Linked DNA regions of Notamacropus eugenii. The protein of the gene in region 1 interacts with the protein of each later gene in a pairwise test. Links are inferred from orthologs where the notes say so. Each region holds a gene or a part of one and is shown on either strand. Other genes may lie near its edges. The genes, in order: CREB3L1 and FXYD domain-containing ion transport regulator 3-like.

Evidence for each region.
Region 2: the proteins of CREB3L1 (region 1) and FXYD domain-containing ion transport regulator 3-like interact in binary tests that used the Homo sapiens proteins (3 or more experiments, as listed by UniProt). The two-hybrid records come from large-scale screens. The link is inferred for Notamacropus eugenii from reciprocal best matches to the Homo sapiens genes CREB3L1 and FXYD3.

Annotation. Positions count from the first base shown.
Region 1 is NC_092877.1:4,549,988-4,558,496, reverse strand, and holds the start of CREB3L1 (cyclic AMP-responsive element-binding protein 3-like protein 1), read left to right. Parts: upstream 1-4,717; 5' UTR 4,718-5,207; coding exon 5,208-5,309; intron 5,310-7,111; exon of another isoform or gene 7,112-8,430; intron 8,431-8,509.
Region 2 is NC_092876.1:32,518,345-32,527,433, forward strand, and holds the start of FXYD domain-containing ion transport regulator 3-like, read left to right. Parts: upstream 1-5,672; 5' UTR 5,673-5,788; intron 5,789-6,635; 5' UTR 6,636-6,712; coding exon 6,713-6,752; intron 6,753-7,764; coding exon 7,765-7,827; intron 7,828-8,876; coding exon 8,877-8,909; intron 8,910-9,089. Other genes in the region: IgGFc-binding protein-like, read left to right, coding at 1-98, 732-1,284, 1,979-2,171, 2,852-2,852. UniProt on the Homo sapiens protein: Associates with and regulates the activity of the sodium/potassium-transporting ATPase (NKA) which transports Na(+) out of the cell and K(+) into the cell.

The DNA.
Region 1 (8,509 bases):
TGGATAGAACAGTGGGTTTGGAGTCAGCAAGTTCAAATCTAAACTTAGATACTTACTAGTTGTGTGACCTTGGGCAAGTCAACCTCTGTTTGCCTCAGTTCATCATCTGTAAAATGAGCTGGAGAAGCCACTTCAATATCTTTGTCAAGAAAACCCCAAATGGGGTCACAAACAGTTAGACACGAATTGAAATGACAGAACAACAACAACAGAAACTGTGTCTACTGGCTGACAGATAGTGGTCAACACAGCAGGGGAGCTTATGAGCTGTTCTCATATTAGGAGTATAAACCTTCAGGGTTACCCCTAGAACCTAGTCGTAAGAGGTACCTTCTGGGAATCCAACCCTTGAATGAGTGTACAAGATAGAGGTACAGCCCAGAAGGGTATTACATATATATGTATTGGAGACAAACAGGTCACCCCTGATGTCTGCTGGACCATGGATCACTTCTGGTGGGTCACACAGCCTCTGGTTTTACTTTTATTATCAACCTATCTACATGCATGTGTGTATGTATATACACACATATATATATACATACATATAAACACATACACATATACATATGTGTATACATCAATATGTCATCAACTCTTTTTAAAAAATTATTGTGGCATAATCCCACTTCAAAAACTTCCACTATCATTTCCTGTGGTACTTAATGCCTCAAACACTAAAAGGTTAAATGACTTGCCCAGGGTTACATAGCCAGTGTGTGTCAGAGAGGTAGATCCTGAGCCTAGCTCTCCAGCTCCAAGGCCATCCCTGTATCCACCATATCCTGTCTCTTCTTATGTATTTTCTCACTTATGTAAATGTTGCTCCTACCCCCTTGTAAAATGGTAACTTCTTGAGGGGAGGCACTGTTTTGACACTTGGTCTTTGTAGCATCAGCACCGAGCCGGGGCCCACGACATAGGAGCCTCCTAGACTGGATGCAGTTGGATCCCAGTCCCTCCACTTGACATCCTTTCTCTTCTTTCTGCTTCTCACTCTTCCTTCCCTTCCCTCCTCCTGGGAGCTCCCCTCTCACAGACTTCACAGAGATACAGAGACCAGAGTGTCTCCACAGGATTAATTTAGATGGTTTCCTACAGTGTTCACCTGGGTACAAATCAAGAAAGAGAGGAAATTCTAATCCTATTTCTCTGAAACTCTGTAATCTTCCCCAATCACTTAAATGGTGCCTGTGTGTCTAATTACAGGGCAGGCTAGGAGGAATGTGGCCCACTTTCCAGTTACCCCTAGGCAGAAGAGTTCTTTTGGCCCATCCTGTGGACCCCAGTCCCTGCCCAGGACACCTGCTGAAGCAATTCAGGAAGTTCAGACTTTGGGGGGAGAGTGGTCCCCTAAATCAAGCCCATCACCTCAAAAGGAGTTGTTCTACTTGGCCAACTGGAATGAATTTGGGGAGAATGAGTACCAGCTGTGTTTCTCTGCTGCTCAAAGGAGCATCTGACCGACTTAACACATCTAGAAATTCACTTCTTGATTTCTGTGTCTGCACAAACAGGGTCCCATGACATGGCACTCTGCTTTACTCCCACCACTGGGCAGATGACTCCCAAACCTACATCTCCAATTCTGCTCCTGCTTCCAAGCACCACACCCACATAACCCACAACTGGACAATTCTATCTAAACATTATCCCAATAATAAAGAGATGGCCTCTTAGGCCCCTTAGAATGGTTCTAATAATAAACATTGACTCAGGATCTGAGTTCAAATCCTGTTTTGGTAAGACGTTTACCACCTGAGTGGATTTAGAGAAGTCAGTTAAGTTACCTAGGCCTCAGTTTCTTATCTGTGAAAAATGTATATCCCCATTCAGCTCTAGGCCCATGATACTCTGATCTCCTGATAGGGTTCAGAACTGACCTGCCTCACCTTCCATTTTCATCCTTTCTATCCATGGCAATCCTGCCTTCCATGTTCCAGAATTTTGGGTTATCTTCAGCTTTTCTCTCTCCCTTACCTCATTCAAGTTGTCATCAGTCTCTACTGATTTCAGTTCTGGAAAAGCTCTGTCCTCCATCCCTTTTCCCTTCTCCTGGGGCCACCACCTGGCCAATGAGGCCTGTTAGACTCCTCACGGGTCTTCTCTGAATTCTCTCCCCTGCCATCAATCCTTTACTCCACTAATAGACTCACTCTCTTATGAGCTGAACTGGTCATGTCACTGCTCTGTTCACAAATTTTCAACAACACCCCATTGCCCACCAGGCTAAGTTTCGACTTCTTTGTTTAGCATTCGAGATCCTCCAAAATCCTTGGTCACCTAACTTCCCGACCATCTTTATAACTCTGTATGACTCTGTACTCCAGCCTACCTGGATGTACACTGCCCCTTAATATGCTCTGGATTTATCTTTGCTTCCCCTTTACCTAGAACACCCTTCCTCTCACCCTCAAAAGAGGCATTAAATATTTGCTGAACGAATGAATGAGTGAATGATTGAATAAATGAGAGTGAATGACACATAAGCAGACCAAAGACTTTGGTAGAACAGCAGGCATCTCCAAAACCTGGCCTGGCTCCCACTCCCAGCCCTTCTCTGGATCTCATGCTTTACCAAAGAAGTGTGACAGGAGCCGACATTCACACATTTAGTGATACACAGATTCCTGAAAGACTTGAGTTCCTGTGCTCATTAAAAGTCACAGGCAAAGAGGACAGAACTTAATCCTGTTAATGACTTCTGAGCAGAAACTGTGTGCCCTGCACTCTTCGAGGGCCCTCCTTCCAGACAACACCCCATTTGCTCAGGGGCCCAGTGGATTGTTTATCAATCCTTTCCAGGAGATTGAGCTGTTCCTGGGAGCTGGTGGCTTTGATGATGGATCGTGGGGAGTGTGTGTATGAAGTGCCAGGGGGTTGGAGGGCACAGGAGAACCAATCAGTTCTTCCATTATCTGGCATTGTTCTCTTTCTTCCTGTTGGTTCAGAACCAGGAGGTGAGTGTGTGGTTGGGGGAGGGGAGTTGTCAGCTGACTGCAGAGAGACTTCTCCAGGTGGGTTTGCTGTTTCATGAACTAGTGTTCCCCATCTAGTTAAGGGAACTGGATAAACACAGGGAAAGGAGGTGAAATTCTGAAAGCTGAGGCAGAAATTCCAAGAAAGAATTCCCCTGTCCTTTGGTCCGTCAATCAACAGGCATTTATTCCAAGCCTTCTGTGTCTCCGGAACTGTGTTAAACAATTCTTGTCATTTCGGAGCCTCAGTACCCTCATCTGTAAAATAGACTAGGTGATCTTCAAAGTCACTTCCAGGACTTTCTGCGAGGTGCTTTAGTCAGTAAAGACAGGCCCTCCATTCAGGTTACAGAGATTTTTTTTCACACATGATTATCATTTGAAATTCAAGATAATTCCTGTGAAACAGTCTCTGCAGATGTTAGCTGCGCTTTACCGGTCACTAAGAAGTGTCTGGAGTGAGATATGAACCCACGTCTTCCCGATTCTAAGTCCAGCACTCTCCCCATTCACTAGGAAGCTGCTGAGAAAAGGAACTTCTGAGAGATTAGCTGATTTGCCTAAGGCCACAGACTTGGGACGTCCAAAGAGAACCCTGGTCTTCCAAAACCAGCGATAAATCCGTGCTACCTCTCATAAAGTCAAGGACTTAAAACTAAAAACGATAAGGTATTTGGAGTCAAGGAATTCCACGTCACAGATCATTCAACAACCAGAACATAATCGATTTCTCCCCCGCCTGGCAGAGAACCTTGAACACAATAGGCATTCAGTAAATGCTGAGTCAGATTGAATTCAATCTCTTTTCGGGGATCGTGAACCCGCTTCTTGTTTAGTCTCTCTCCATGACTCTATGGACCATACTGTCCATGGGGTTTTCTTGGCAACGATAGTGGAGTGGTTTACCATTTCCTTCTCCGGTGGATTAAGGGAAATAGAGGTTAAGTGACTTACTCAGGGTCACAGAACTGGATGTCTGAGGTACGATTTGAACTCAGATGTTCCTGATTCCAGAACCTATCCACTGAGCCACCTACCCTACCCCTTCCCCTCGCCCCCAGGACCTAGGCTCTTGGGCAAATCTTTCCCCTTCCCTGTGCCTCAGTTTCCTTATTGTAAAATAACAGACTGATCTGAAAAACCTCTGAGGTTTTTTTTTTCCATGACTAAACCTATGATCCCATCAACTACATCTAGGACCAGCTAAAGTAGTGCTCATGAAAAGGTTTTGTTCAGTTGAACAGAATTGAAGGCCTACTATGCGCAAGGCATTTTGCTAGGCGCTGCCAGTGTTTCTATCCCGTGTGGTGAAGGAACAATGACCTGGAATTTTCTAACTCTCGGTTCCTTTCTGCTGTTATTTCCATAAAACGACTGGAACAGAAATGCCTGGCACTTGCCAATTATTGCCGGGGGAGGGAGGCTGACACAGCGACTAAAAGCCGGGGGGTCTGTGGCCACCTGCTGAAGATTCCTTAGCTGAAGGCTTACTCTCTGCCCAGGGCCTGGGACTGGTTTCCCTTGTAGTCCCACGGCGCCCGCAGTCATTAATCATTGCCCTGGTTCGGGGGCAAACATTCTGCACGCAGAGAAAAGGAACGGCAGGGTTGGTCCTCTAAGAGGCTGCCTCTTTAAAGGGACGGGTCTGGAAGAGAAGGCACGCCCCCAATCTCATTACTACTAAGGAGGCCCCTGAATATTGAGGAGGTGGGGGTGTGGCAACCAAGCCTAGCTGGCGGAGCTTGGGTTTCCCGGCTTTGGAGACAGGGAAAGTGACAGTAGAGTGCGGAGGGGAGAAACGCACCGAGGGAGCGGGAGAGGAGAAAGCTCGCTCGGCTCCCACCCAGTCCCGGGGGAGTCCGCAGCTCCCCCGTTCCCGGCTCCCGCCCAGCCCCTGGGAGGGGCGGGAGCCCCCACTTCTCTGGCCCCAGCCTCTCCTTATGGAATCTCGCTTTGCCCGGGGTGGAGGAGAGATGCCCACCGTGCGCCGGGAGCCCCGCTGCCCTGCCGGAGGCTCACGGATGCCCTGAGCCCACACTCCGGCTGCACCGCTGTCGCCGTCGCCCCCGGCCAGACGAGGCTCCAAGATCGCCGGGGGCTTGCCGGAGAGCTGCCAGCCCGAAGGCGAGCTTGGTGGCCTGGACGCCCCCAGCGCTGGACTGACTGAGCCGGGCAGCAAAGGGGGTGTTCTGCCCGCGCCACCTCCTGGGAGCCCCCGAGCCAGACACCATGGACGCCGTGTTAGAGCCCTTCCCAGCAGACAGGCTCTTCCCCGGCTCCAGTTTTCTGGACCTGGGCGATCTCAATGAGGCGGATTTCCTGAGCAATGCGGTAAGAAAGGCCAGGGGTCCGCGCCCAGCGGTCACTCGTGTCCCCAGCTGCTGAGCGCGCGCGCACAAGCACACACACACATACATACACACACACACTCACGCACACACACAAGCACACACACACGCATGCATACACACGCACACACACACATACATACACACACACACTCACGCACACACACAAGCACACACACGCGCACACACACACACACATACATACACACACGCACACACACATACACACACGCGCAGACACACACGCACACACACGCACACACCACGGAGGCAGGCAAAGGACCCAACTCTAACCCCCTGGCACGGTCTGGCGTCCCCCGGGATACAGCAGCTGCGACCCTGTGCGGGGGTCAGCCCCAGCGAGGGAGGGGCGGGAGGAGTGGGTGTAGTATTTAGATCCCGAGTGGAAGAATGAGGTGACCCAAGGAAGAGGGCTGGGGTAGGAGCGAAGCAGAACCAGAGCCCAGAGTCGCCCTCGGGGTCAGCTCGTTGGCGCTTAGCCTCCTTCCGTGACATGTCACCCACTCCAGCCCTTTGGCCGGTCATGAAGGCACGATGCTGGCAGTGGAAACAATGGCAGCCCTGGGAGGGGGCAGTTGTGCCCCTCTCCCTCACTCCCCGCCCCCCCCCTTGGAACCTGGTTTCCTTTCAAGGCCAGCTGGCCTAGAACCCGGACTCCGAGAGACTGAGATCTAACCGCTGCCCCAGCTCCAGCTCTAGCCCCCGGGTGTCTTCTGAGCTTGCATTTCTACCTAGCTCCGGGGAGTCTTCTGTAGCTTCTGAGGGAGGAGAGGGTAGAAAGTCTCTCTTGGCAATAGGGTCATTCTGACTCGAGGAAAGAAACTCGGATGATTCCCCTTTCCTCCCCCCTGTCCCTGTCCCCCCACTCCCCCTTTTTGTTCCCGAGAGCAAAGGGTGCAGTCTGATCTTGGGGGAAGATGGGAGGGGGTAGTCTGCCGAAAGCCAGAGAAAGCCTGAGCCTGGCGCCCCTTCGGGGACACAACCTGGATCGACGCCAGACCAGGCGTTCAGGAGATGTTGCCGACTCCCCACCAACCTAAGGCAAAATATCAAGAGAGACCCTCAGCAGAGAGCTCAGGGACCAGCCCTGCACTCCCCACCTTTGTAAGAATAGGTTAGCAATGGGCAGAGAAAGCTGGCATTCTCTCTTCTCTCCCCACCCCACCCCCCCAAGGAAATGTGTCCTCCCTCCAGCAGGCTCAGCCCCAAGGCCCTGATGGTGAATGGAGGGGGATGGGGGCAGGGAGTGCACTCAGTCACGGGAGAAAATATTTGGCTTTGGAGGGATCTGCCCAGTTGAAATTTCAGGACCCTGTGTGGCTTGGAGGTATGCCTGTGGTTTGGAAGTAAGTCCAGACAGGCTCCCAGCAGGTTAATTCATCCAAGGGCCAAGTTCCCCTGGGTCCTTCAGGCCACCCAGGCCTTTCTCAGGACCCAACCATCCTAGGTGCAAAGTCAGCAGTTAGACTCTGAGAACTTTGCCAGAAAAAAGCGGAGAGCTCAGTACCCCGATATGTTAGGGGTAATCTCATCCTGCACCCTCTACCACCAGGGATTGTCTCGTTACAGAAGAGAAAAGTGAGGCTGCTAATAGGGTATTGACCAGATTGTAAATGGCCTCATTAAACAGTAAGCCCTTTGAGGGTGGGGATCATGCCTTATGTATCTTTGTTAGCCTACAAAGCACCAGCATAGGTCCTCAATCAATGTTAGTGGAATGCGTGAATGCATGAATGAGTGAATGAATGAATGAATCTGCAGAGGTATGAGTGGCAGAGGACCAGCTTTTAAATCAGGGGAACTGAGTTTTAGTCTTAATTCTGTTACCATCTGTACGACCTCACTTTAAAGTCACTTTAATCTCCCTATACCTCAGTTTCTCCATCTGCAAAATGAAAGTGGAGAAGTCAAATCAGATTATTTCTAAGGCGCCTTCCATTTTCAAGTTTATGAGAGGGTCTTCTGCTCATGAGAAAAAGAGGCAAGGCAGCCTAGTCCCATACTGTAAATCAATTGACGTCTAACACAAGTCTGAGAAACACAAAGGGGATGTGTGGCCTCTCTGCTTGTGATTTATCCAAAATAATAAATCCTGGCATTTATATAGCCCTTTGAGATTTGCAAAATGCTTTTCTTATGTTATCTCGTTAAATCCTGACAATTCCCCCAAGACAGGTTCTGTTATTTCCCCCACTTTATAGATGGGAAAACTGAGGCTCAGGGAGATGAAGTGACTTGGTGGTCTAAGTTGTTAAAGTAGTAAGTAGCAGTCACCCGCATGGGACCAGATAGCTAGTAAATGTCTAAGTTGGAATTAGAATCCAGAGCTGGCTGATTTCTAGTTCACTGCACTGGCCACTCTACGTCTGGGGAGAAGCCAAGTGCCCAGGTGCCCAGTCAGTCACTTGTAGTGTTTCTTCATGTTGTCATCTCAATGGGAAGGTCTCTCCTCCCGGTAAGGGTGGGGCGGTCTCTGGGGATGAGCTCTGTGTTAGACAAGGGGTTTCCAGGGGCTCTGGCCACTGCTGCTCCTTGGACAACCTGGAAAAAAAAATATTCTCGCCACTTTCCCTCTGAATTCTTGGGGCCATGCCTGGATTAGCTGAATTCCTACATCCTTTGCAGTTCTAATTCTCTCTCAGTCTACTCGCCTTGAGGTAACCAGTTTTGATCCTAGCTTCCCAGCACAACCCTGAGATGAATGGAGAGGTTGAGGGAGTGGGGATTCACCTTGCTGCAGCCAGGCACTGACAACCTTCTCAACGCGAATAGGAAGGTGGGGAGGCTCCCGGCTCTGCCCCTGAATTGTAACTTTTTTCTGAATAAACTCAGCAGACTCATCCAGCTCCCCATTCAGACCTTCACCCCCAGCTACTCAGCTGGGTCACAGCCCAGCCACAGTGGATAGGTTCACGGGGTCAGATAGTGGTGTCCGGGGGCAGTGACTCCATCAAGGGAGAAGTTCAGGCTGGTAAGGAGCCTTTGTTCTGGGGTAGCCCAGAGTCACACCTGGGCATGGTCCAACAGGCTTGCTGGGAGAAGATTCAGAAGGTTCAGAGATGAAGTGTAGCAGGGGATGACATCTGAGGGAAGGAAGAGAAACCTTGGCATAGTGAACACAGTATCAGACTGACAGTAAGGACAGTTGGATTCTAGATCCTA
Region 2 (9,089 bases), on another chromosome or scaffold:
ACACCCTAAGCACCCAGACATCTGTGATCTCAGAAGTATTTATCCTAGTCAATGGGACCCAGATCCATCTTCAAAAAGAAAATCCAGGGCTGGTCCAGGTAAGTTCTTGGTAGAAAACCTCTTTTCCCAAATGGCCCAGAGCAACATCCATGGTGAGGGAAAGCAGAATGGCTCAGACACTTACATATGGCCTCAGGGGCTAGCGGCTCCCTGCCAGACATTGATTCCCATCTTGGAACACTGCCAAAACCAAGGTCAGTGATCTGAAACACGGATACAGAACTGACCGGAGCTGGGATGAGTGGTCTGCAGCTACCTTTTCCGTAGAACTTCTCTTTAGTCTGGAGAGGTAAATGCCCACCACAGTCATGTTGGTGGGGCTTGGGAAACACAGAGGTATGCTTGCTTCTTGTAACAGTTATATACATGTATATGTGAATATATATATATGTGTATATATATATATGTGTGTGTGTGTGTGTATGTGTGTAGTATGTATTTAATATCGATGTGAACTCTCTCTCTGCCCATTTCATTACTCCCGTTCCAGTTCCCCCTGACCATCAGCAGACCTTCTCTTGGATGATCAGTGGGTAGTTGGAACCCTGTTCCCTGTGATTTTTTACCCCTTGCCCCAAAATTCCCCAATCCTCCCTTCCTACCTAAGAGGGTGCAGGGCAAGTGGGGAAGGAGAATGCGGTCATTAAGTTATCCACTTTCCATCTTGTCAGGTTAATGAGGCTACATTCACCCTTCTGCTGAACCTCAGCATGGGAGATATCCTCCTGTACCAGGATGGATTCCACCTAACATTGCAGACACACTTTGGACTAGTGTTCACCTCTGACTTGGTCCACAGCCTCTTCCTTACCCTGCCCCCAAATTACATGGACCACACTTGTGGGCTATATGGGAACTTCAGTGGGGATGACTTCCAGCTACCGAGAGGTTCCCCAGTGGGGGACCCAGTGACTTACTCTGCCTCTGAATGGAAGCCGGATGATGGCTGTAAAGACAGTTGTGCCAAGGGATGTCCAGCATGCATGGCCCAGGAACAGCTTGTACCCGCCAAGGTCCAGTGTTGGATCCTCCAAGACCCCTGGGGGCCCTTTTCCTCTCGCCCCATGGAAATTGATCCAGAACCCTTTGCTTCTGCCTGTGCCAATGACCTATGCCTCTCCACGGGAAACAGTTGTGTCTTATGCCTGACCAACCAGATTTACGCTGCTGCCTGTCAGCGAGCAAATGTCACCATCAGGGACTGGAGGAGCCCCTCCTTCTGTGGTGAGTGGGCAGGTCCCCGTACTCCCATATTATGCCTTTGGGGCTTCAGGTCTGTAGGCCCAATACCAGGCCCAAGCCAAAGCACAGAGATGATGGCCAACTGTCAGACTCCAGCCCTCCTTCTCTATCAAAATGATACCCAGGGCTGGAACTGACATGCTACAAAATACTATCATACACCTCAGTTAGTCCTCCTTTAAGGAAGGGATTATTCCCCTCTTTACCAATGAGTTGAGAGTTGAGAGCTAAAGTGATCTGCCCATAGTCACATAGCTGGGAAGGGTCTCTTCTGACTGACTCTGAGGCTATCTATTAATGGAGCAACCTCTGTGTACAGATGCATGGGTTTGGATGAAGCAAAGACCCAAAGAATCCATAGCTCACTTTCCCTGGGAAATGCCCTTAGCACTTAGAAAGCAGCAAATCAGTCCAAAGCCCAATATTCTGAAGGGACAGAGAGTAGAGAAGTTTCTCCAAGTCTGTGGGGCTTCATAGGAAGAGGACCTTCCAAGAAGACTTTTGGAGGGGTTTCTGTCACCACCTCATGGCAAGAGAGCCCAGGAGAAAGGGCCCTCTGTCCTGGCTTCTCTCAGACCTCAGAGGCTCCCTATGGCTATGGAGCAGCTTAGTGAGGATGCACACTCCAGGGCTCTCTTCAGCTCGTCTCCTCTCCTCTGCTGTCCTCTCTCCACAGCCCCCCACTGTGCCCAGCACAGCCACTACGAGCTCTGTGCCTGCCCTCGCTGCCATTCCTGCCCTGGCTCTGAGCTGAAGTATGGGCTCTTGTGTGTTGAGGGTGCATCTGTGATGATGGGTACCTGCCTCAGGGATCCAGCTGCCTCCCAGCCCCAGAGCATGACTGTGGCCACCAAAGTCAGCATTGCCTAGTGAGTTGCCCCCCTGTCTACCCCATATAGTCTTGGGGAAAGGGACAGCTGGTGCTCCCACACTGGGCGCCCTCATCCACAGGAACTGCTAACCACAGATCATAGCTCTAGAGCTAGAAAGGGGGTCTAGTCCCATTCCCATCTGAGAGAGAGAAAGACTAAGGCCAAGAGGTTAAGTGATTCATCCCAGATCACAGAGGGGATTAAGTAACAGAGGAGGGATGCCAGTGTGAGTTCAGTGATCTACACTCTGCCACACTGTTCTCCAGAATTTAAGCATCCAATCCCTGCTACCCTCAAAGGTCTTTATTATGCACCAAGTGCCATGCCCACCACAGAGCCTGTCTCTCTCCTTATCCCCTGATGCCAGGAAAGCTTTTCTCCTGCCTGCTCAGCCCCACCCACCAATGGGCCAGTACCTTCTTGCTTAGAGGGAACCATCAGTCAGTGGAGGAGAAGTCTCAAAGGGCTCTCACATGAATTATTTCTGACACCAACCATGCCAACCATTATAAAGGCACTTGGGGCAGGTACTGCGGTTATCCTCATCCGACAGATGAACATCCCCTAATTTGTCTGACTTGTGAGCATCAGAGAGTTAGACTTGGTACTGACTTTGAACTTAATTCTTAGTTGGGGCTCCATCCCCTGTGGACTCCTACCTTCCTCTCCTCCTACAGGAACTGAGCCCTAAGGAGGCTTCTGAGCTTCTGTGGAGACCACAGAGCAGTCACAAGTGTCTACAGCGGAACCACACTGGCCAAATCTGAATCTGGTCCACCCAGAGCTCAGAACATGAAGCCAATAACATCATGCAAGCAGCAACAAATCCCCCCAGATCTCTTCTACAATTCAACCCAGTCGCAATAAAACACTAGCAGAAGTCTCTGCCTAAGCCAGAATCTGCTGCCTGGCCTCGAGACTAAGGGAGAAGACCTATGGATCAGCTAGTTCTTTTGGCTCACAAAGGCTTGGTGAGGTGGGGAATAGGAGAAGAAAAGCCACACCAGGCACTCACACACTGAGCACAGCTTTGGCTGCTGTCCTTCCTATGCTGTCCCAGAACCAAGACCAAACTGCTGAGACTCAGCATTTTTTCAAGGTGGGCTAGGTAGGAAGGAGAGACAAGAGTCCAAGAGGCCTCAGCCATCACTACGCCATCTCTTTTTGTGTTTCTCATTCCTATCCTTCCCCACAAGTTGTCAGCATCCATCCATCCATCCATCCATCCATTCATTCAATAGATGTTTTCCCCTCCCCAGTCCTGTGCCTGACTGCTGTAGGGGAGGTAATACAAGGATCTGATTTGGTCCCTGCTCAGGGGAATTGGTTGCCTATTTGGGCAAATAAAATGTATGAAATGACTACATCAGTATAGATTTCAAGGGCAATGACCATAAGAAGTATTCATTAAAGGCCTGTTTACTGAAAGATTAACATGGGTTAGTGCACAGGGACTAGGAAAAGTTAGAGCTAGATCAGGGAGAAGTGGGGCAGGTCAATATTCTGCATGTGTTATTGCCTTCCTAGTATGGGACTAGAGGAGGGGGCACATGAGTGCCAAGAGTGGGGAGCACTCTGTAGCATAACAGGGGAAGGCCATGGCCCACCTTGTATAGGGCATGGGGCAGGGAGCAAAAGGCGGGGGACAGAAGGCAGGGCACAGGCATAGGGTACATGTGGCAGGGGACAGAGGGCAGGGGACAGGGATGTAACTTCCTTGCACATGGCACTTCGAACATAGCAGATGCTAATTAAATGCATATCCATTTGAATTACCCTGACCTGGGAGGCAGGACCTACCAGGGTGTCCAGATAAGTCTAGTGGCACATTTCTGGGGCTCCCCCACCAGAGGGCAATGCTGTGCCGTGGCCAAGTCATCTTGGGGTCTCTTTGTAGCCACTGGGAAAAGAAGACTGTCAGGGGACTTTCCAGGGAGACTGGGACCTTCATATCCCAGGTAAAGAAAAGCTGCCAAGCTTAGGATCAACATCTCTGAATCTTCTGTCAAAGCATCTCCTCCAAGCAGCAGCCCCCATCTCTCTGCAGGTCAAATCTCTAACCTTCACCCTCCTCCAAGTGTTTGGGCACCTAAGACGCTTGCTCGAGCCCATTCAGACTCCAAAAGTAGGGGGCTGAATTCCCCTGCTGCAGAGGGCAAGGTGGGGCTCAAGGCCCTGGCCAGCTGGGTCTGACTCAGAGGAATTGACAAACGCCTTGGAGAAACCACATCCAGACAGCAGATGGCTCTGGGGAGTTTCCCTTTCCCTCTCTCTCTTTCTCTGCCTCTCTCCCCTCCCCTCTGCTGGGAAGTAACAGGGCCCGACTCTCCCTGAGCCATTTTTCCTGAGCATTTATTCCCCTTAACTCTACTCCAGAGCTATTTCTTCTGTCCCTCAGCTTTCTCCATCACCACCTTAACCTTCAAAGAGGTGCCAAGGCCTCCTCTCAACCCTTGCTATCCTTTTGCCTGGCTCTTCTCTGCCTGTGGTCCTCTTGGCTCCTCCCCAGGAGGCAGAGTGGGGGCACCCAAGCTCCAGATGGTGACCAGAACAGGAACAGAAGCGTCTCCTTTGCCAGCCCCTGCCCCCTCCCTATGACCCCAATCCTTTGCCAGCCTTTCAATAGCCCCTTGTTCCCAGTCCAGCCCCCAAACAAAGCTCTCTCTGTGGGGAAGGAGCAGCTTGGGGCAGTGGTTACCCCAAATGGAAAGGCCAGGGCCATCCTGGGCTCCATATGGACCCCTGTCTGGAGGAATGTTAGGAGGAGGGCGAATAAATCTTATGGGCAGGGAAAAGAAATGAGAGGGAACAGAACTTCAGTCCACAAGTGGTTGATCAGTCAGTCAGTAAGCATTAATTCCACACTATGTGCATAGTGTTGCCCTTAATCTACCCAGCCCAGGCCACTCCCAGGTCCCAGATAATCCATCATCTGCCAACCGCTCCACCTTGCGGTTCGCACCCTCCTGCCAGGGCCCAGGAAGCCTGTCTCAGCAATTCAAAATATTTATTGGGGAAAGGGGGGGAGGAGGAGAGTGCGTTGGCTTCTTTATCTCTCCTGCTCTGCTGGTGAATGGTTGGGTGGGCTTGCAGGCCCTAATCCAAAGGATCTGCTTTTATATCTTCCCCATCCCATTCCTGATGATTTTACAGATAGCTGGGTCTTTCAAAACAGCTCCAAAGGTCTTTCCTCAAGGGTGTGTTTATGAAGCCTCCTTATTGTTGGCCCATTTCAGCTGGGCTTTAGGTAGACAAAGAAGGTTAAAGGTCTCTGAAAGGATTCCCCACAACTCCAAGAAGAGGAGCCTTGGTCCTCTCCTCATGTGTATACATATGTATATAAACTAACTTTAGGCTCTGGTTCTGTCAGGGCCTAGAGGCTGAATGGGGTCAAGGTAGGCAGATTGGGCCTTCTGAGAAGAGAAGCCAGACTGCCCCTTTAAGAGCAAGTGGGGCGGGGGTGGGGAGCTCTGCTAGAGCCCCAGGGAGTCAGACCTGTTCCCTACCTGCCTGGTTTTGCCCAGGGTGTGTCTGTTCTGTATAAAGAGGCTGGGGCAGGCCTAGCTTCACTAGCAGCGGTTCCTTCTACTTCCCAGCTCTGTCCTGCAGTCCAGGTGAGCATCAAGAGCCCCCTACTCTAACTCCATTTATTAATCGTGTCCCCTCAGCCTTGGCTCTGCCTCCCCCACCTTCAACTTTCCACCCTCCTATGCCTGTTATCTTTTTGTGTGTACCTCTCCCCTGACACTTTCCTCCTCCTCTGGCTTCTTCTACCCAGGGCCTTCCCTTGTTCCTGGGCTTTGGGGAAGGGCTGTCTCTGTGTAAGTCACAGTTGGTTGAATGGAGCTGGAGAAGAGAGATTTTGCTTGGGAATCAAAGCCCTCAGAGCTTGGGGACAGGTAGCATTTTGGGATTTTAAAGTACTGGAGAAAAGTAATGAAGGAAACAGCAGGGTTCTGCCATAAAGCAGCATTGGGATACAGAAGGAATAAAGAGGAAGAGCCCAGGTGGCAGGAAAGTCAGTCTGCTGGTCCCTTTGAGTAACGCAGGGCACCCAATGCATGATGGCGATCATAATGGAGAAGGGTTGGGGGAGCCGCTACTCAGTCTGTTGGAAGAACAAAGAAGGGGTTGGGATGAACCATTTTAGAATGAAATGGTAGCAATGTGCCCACTAAATGAAGGAAACCTAGTTATAAGTATAGCTACTGAGGCAAAGAGTACTGTAGTCTGGAGAGCTTAAGTCACAGACTAGGTTTGGGCGCAGAAACCAGGATGGAATGCGGTACTATAACATAAATAGGAACAGGATAGTATATCAAAGTCACAAGGAAACCACAGTATTAACAAAAAGTAATGAAGTGTATCACAGTAACCTGAAATAATAGGAAAGGCAGAACTATGACCAAAGATACCAGAATAACGTGGACTAACAGAAAATAAAGGAAGAATTCGCTTCAGTGTTTTCTGCAGGGTAACCAAAGTGAATGCAGAATATTAACATGACCTTCTGGCAGTAGTAATGCATGTAATGGAGGATGTGGTTCACAGCCACCTGGAGGAAGAGAGGGGCTCAAGGTAAAGAGGTCCCCTGCAGTACCAGCCAGCCTCAGGCAGTGACCACAATCTAATGGCCATAACCCAGGGAGGTGGCATTAATGGGGCATGACAAATATTCCTGGGAGGCAGGGACTTTAGTAGTAACATGGAGATCCCATGAGTCAACACTAACTAGAACATTGCCTTTCAGCCCCAAAGATCAGTGAGGACATCATTATAAAAGGGGAAAGGGATTGAAGAAATACCACAAGCCCATACTAACCCCAGAAAGAGACTGTAGGGAGGTTTCCCAAAGGCAGATGGGCTTTGAGTCACTGTATAGAGTAGAAGTGGTCTGGAGCACAGAAGGTGGGGAGGAGGATCCAAGGGCACAAAATAAGAGGGGTGAAGCCAGGTTGGAGGAATTCATATAATTCTCTTGAGTTGCAACGACTTCTTCTCAGCTCTGGCAGCAGCCTCTGGCCCCCTGGGGCTTAGCTGTCCTGTCTGCTCTGTTGCCCACCCACAACCAACCACAGTCACGACCTCCTCCCTCTCCCCCAAGAACAGCCAGATATGCCAGGCCAGCCCCAGGCTCTGGACCCCAGCCCAAAGAAGGGATGGGCCATTCAGGCTCCGAGCTGTCTGTGGGAGAGATTGCCAGCAAGGAAACCTCAGCCAGTTCCAAATACAGGCATCCTGCCACCTGGGCCTGGGCTCCTCCCTTTTGCCCCTACCCCAAAACTAGCTCAGACTCCTCCATGGCCCCATTCACCACCCCTCCTGCAGACGAAGCAGAGTGCTCCTATTTCCTCCTTGGAGAAATTTAGTCAGCATCTGCCCTCCCCCAGCTCCCTTATCTGCCCCTCTCCTTCTCTGCTTCTTATCTGCTTTCTTCCTTCTTATCTCCTGCCCTGGGTTCAACAGAAAGACTTTCGTCCCTGTGTTGCTCCCATGTGTACATGTGTTTGAAGTTGCTGAGCTGGGGGTGGGGGAGGGCAGAGGGAATAGGAAGGAGAAGCATGTGTTCCATTGAGGTTTTTCCCAACAGGGTCCAACTTATTCACCTCCAAGATGCTTGGGACAACAGTGGGCATTCTACTGATGATGGCAGGTCAGTGCCAGTTTTCAGACTGAAAGACTGTTCCTTTTCCTGGACTTCTCCCTCACTTGAGCCCAAAGATACTGCCTCTGATCCTCTTACATTTCCCTTAACCCAAACTGAGCAGCATTCCAGAAACCATTGTAGATAGGGTCATTGCTTTTCTACTGTGTGTTTGTCCGTTGCCAAAGAAGACCATGCCATCAGAGATGTGATGACATGACTTGCACTTAACTTTGTTTTGAGTGAGTAAGGGCTGTGAACGTTACCAGCCTCACTTCTCCTCCAGAGCCATCTGAATCCAGTGACCAGATATTCATCAGGATGACTGGAGATGACCCAGGAGGAGGCAATTGGGTTTAATTGCCCAAGGTCACACAGCTAGTGAGTGTCAAGTGTCTGAGGTGAGATTTGAAGTCAGGTCTTCCTGATTCCTGCACTAGTGCTCTATCCACTGCACCACCTAACTGCCCCTGCTTTTCTACTAAGAGGCCAATAAAAAGTACGTTCTGAAGAGGCCAGGGCCACTAGGGGTCTGTGTTCCTAGAGGGGGCAAAAAGGCAGCTCAAACACCTGCCTTCCCCAATCAGAGGCCAGAAATAGTCAATAGTATTGAGGAAGGGCATCTAAGATGCTGGAGTCAGTAGCAGCAGCTGGAATGAGATTGGAAATCCAGAGTCCCTAAGAGAAGAGATGCTGAAGTACTGGGAGACAGTTACATGGGTGCCTTGTGAGACATGGCTAAGGAAGGCACTAAAGGGCAGGTGTAAATACCTTTAGTAGGAACCTCAAACGAGATGGGGAAGCTCATTTCCTTCTTTTTTCCTCACCACGAGGAGAATGAGGTGAATAAATGCTGTTGAACACTTGAGGGTTTGTGTGATCTCCCATTTGGAGGCATGCCTTTGCCACCCTCCACCAGCAGTCTGAGGAGTCACCCCTACTGAAGGATACAGCAGGCAGATATCTGCCTGTGCCCAGAGCCAACCACCAAAAGGCAAGGGTTAACCAGTCTTGGGTTGCCAACACTCCACTCTCCCTCTGCTTTTTCTCTTTCTCAGTTCTGCCTGCCCTGGAAGCCAATGACCCAGCTGGTGAGTTACTCCCAAGCTTCTTTTTTGGGGGAGGGAGGCAAGTGGGGTCAAGTGACTTGGCCAGAATTACATAGCTAATAAGTGTCTGAGGCTGGCTTTGAACTTAGGTCCTCCTGACTCCAGAGTCAGGGCTCTGTTTACTGTGCTACCCACCTGCCCCTAATCCCCAAGCTTCTTTGA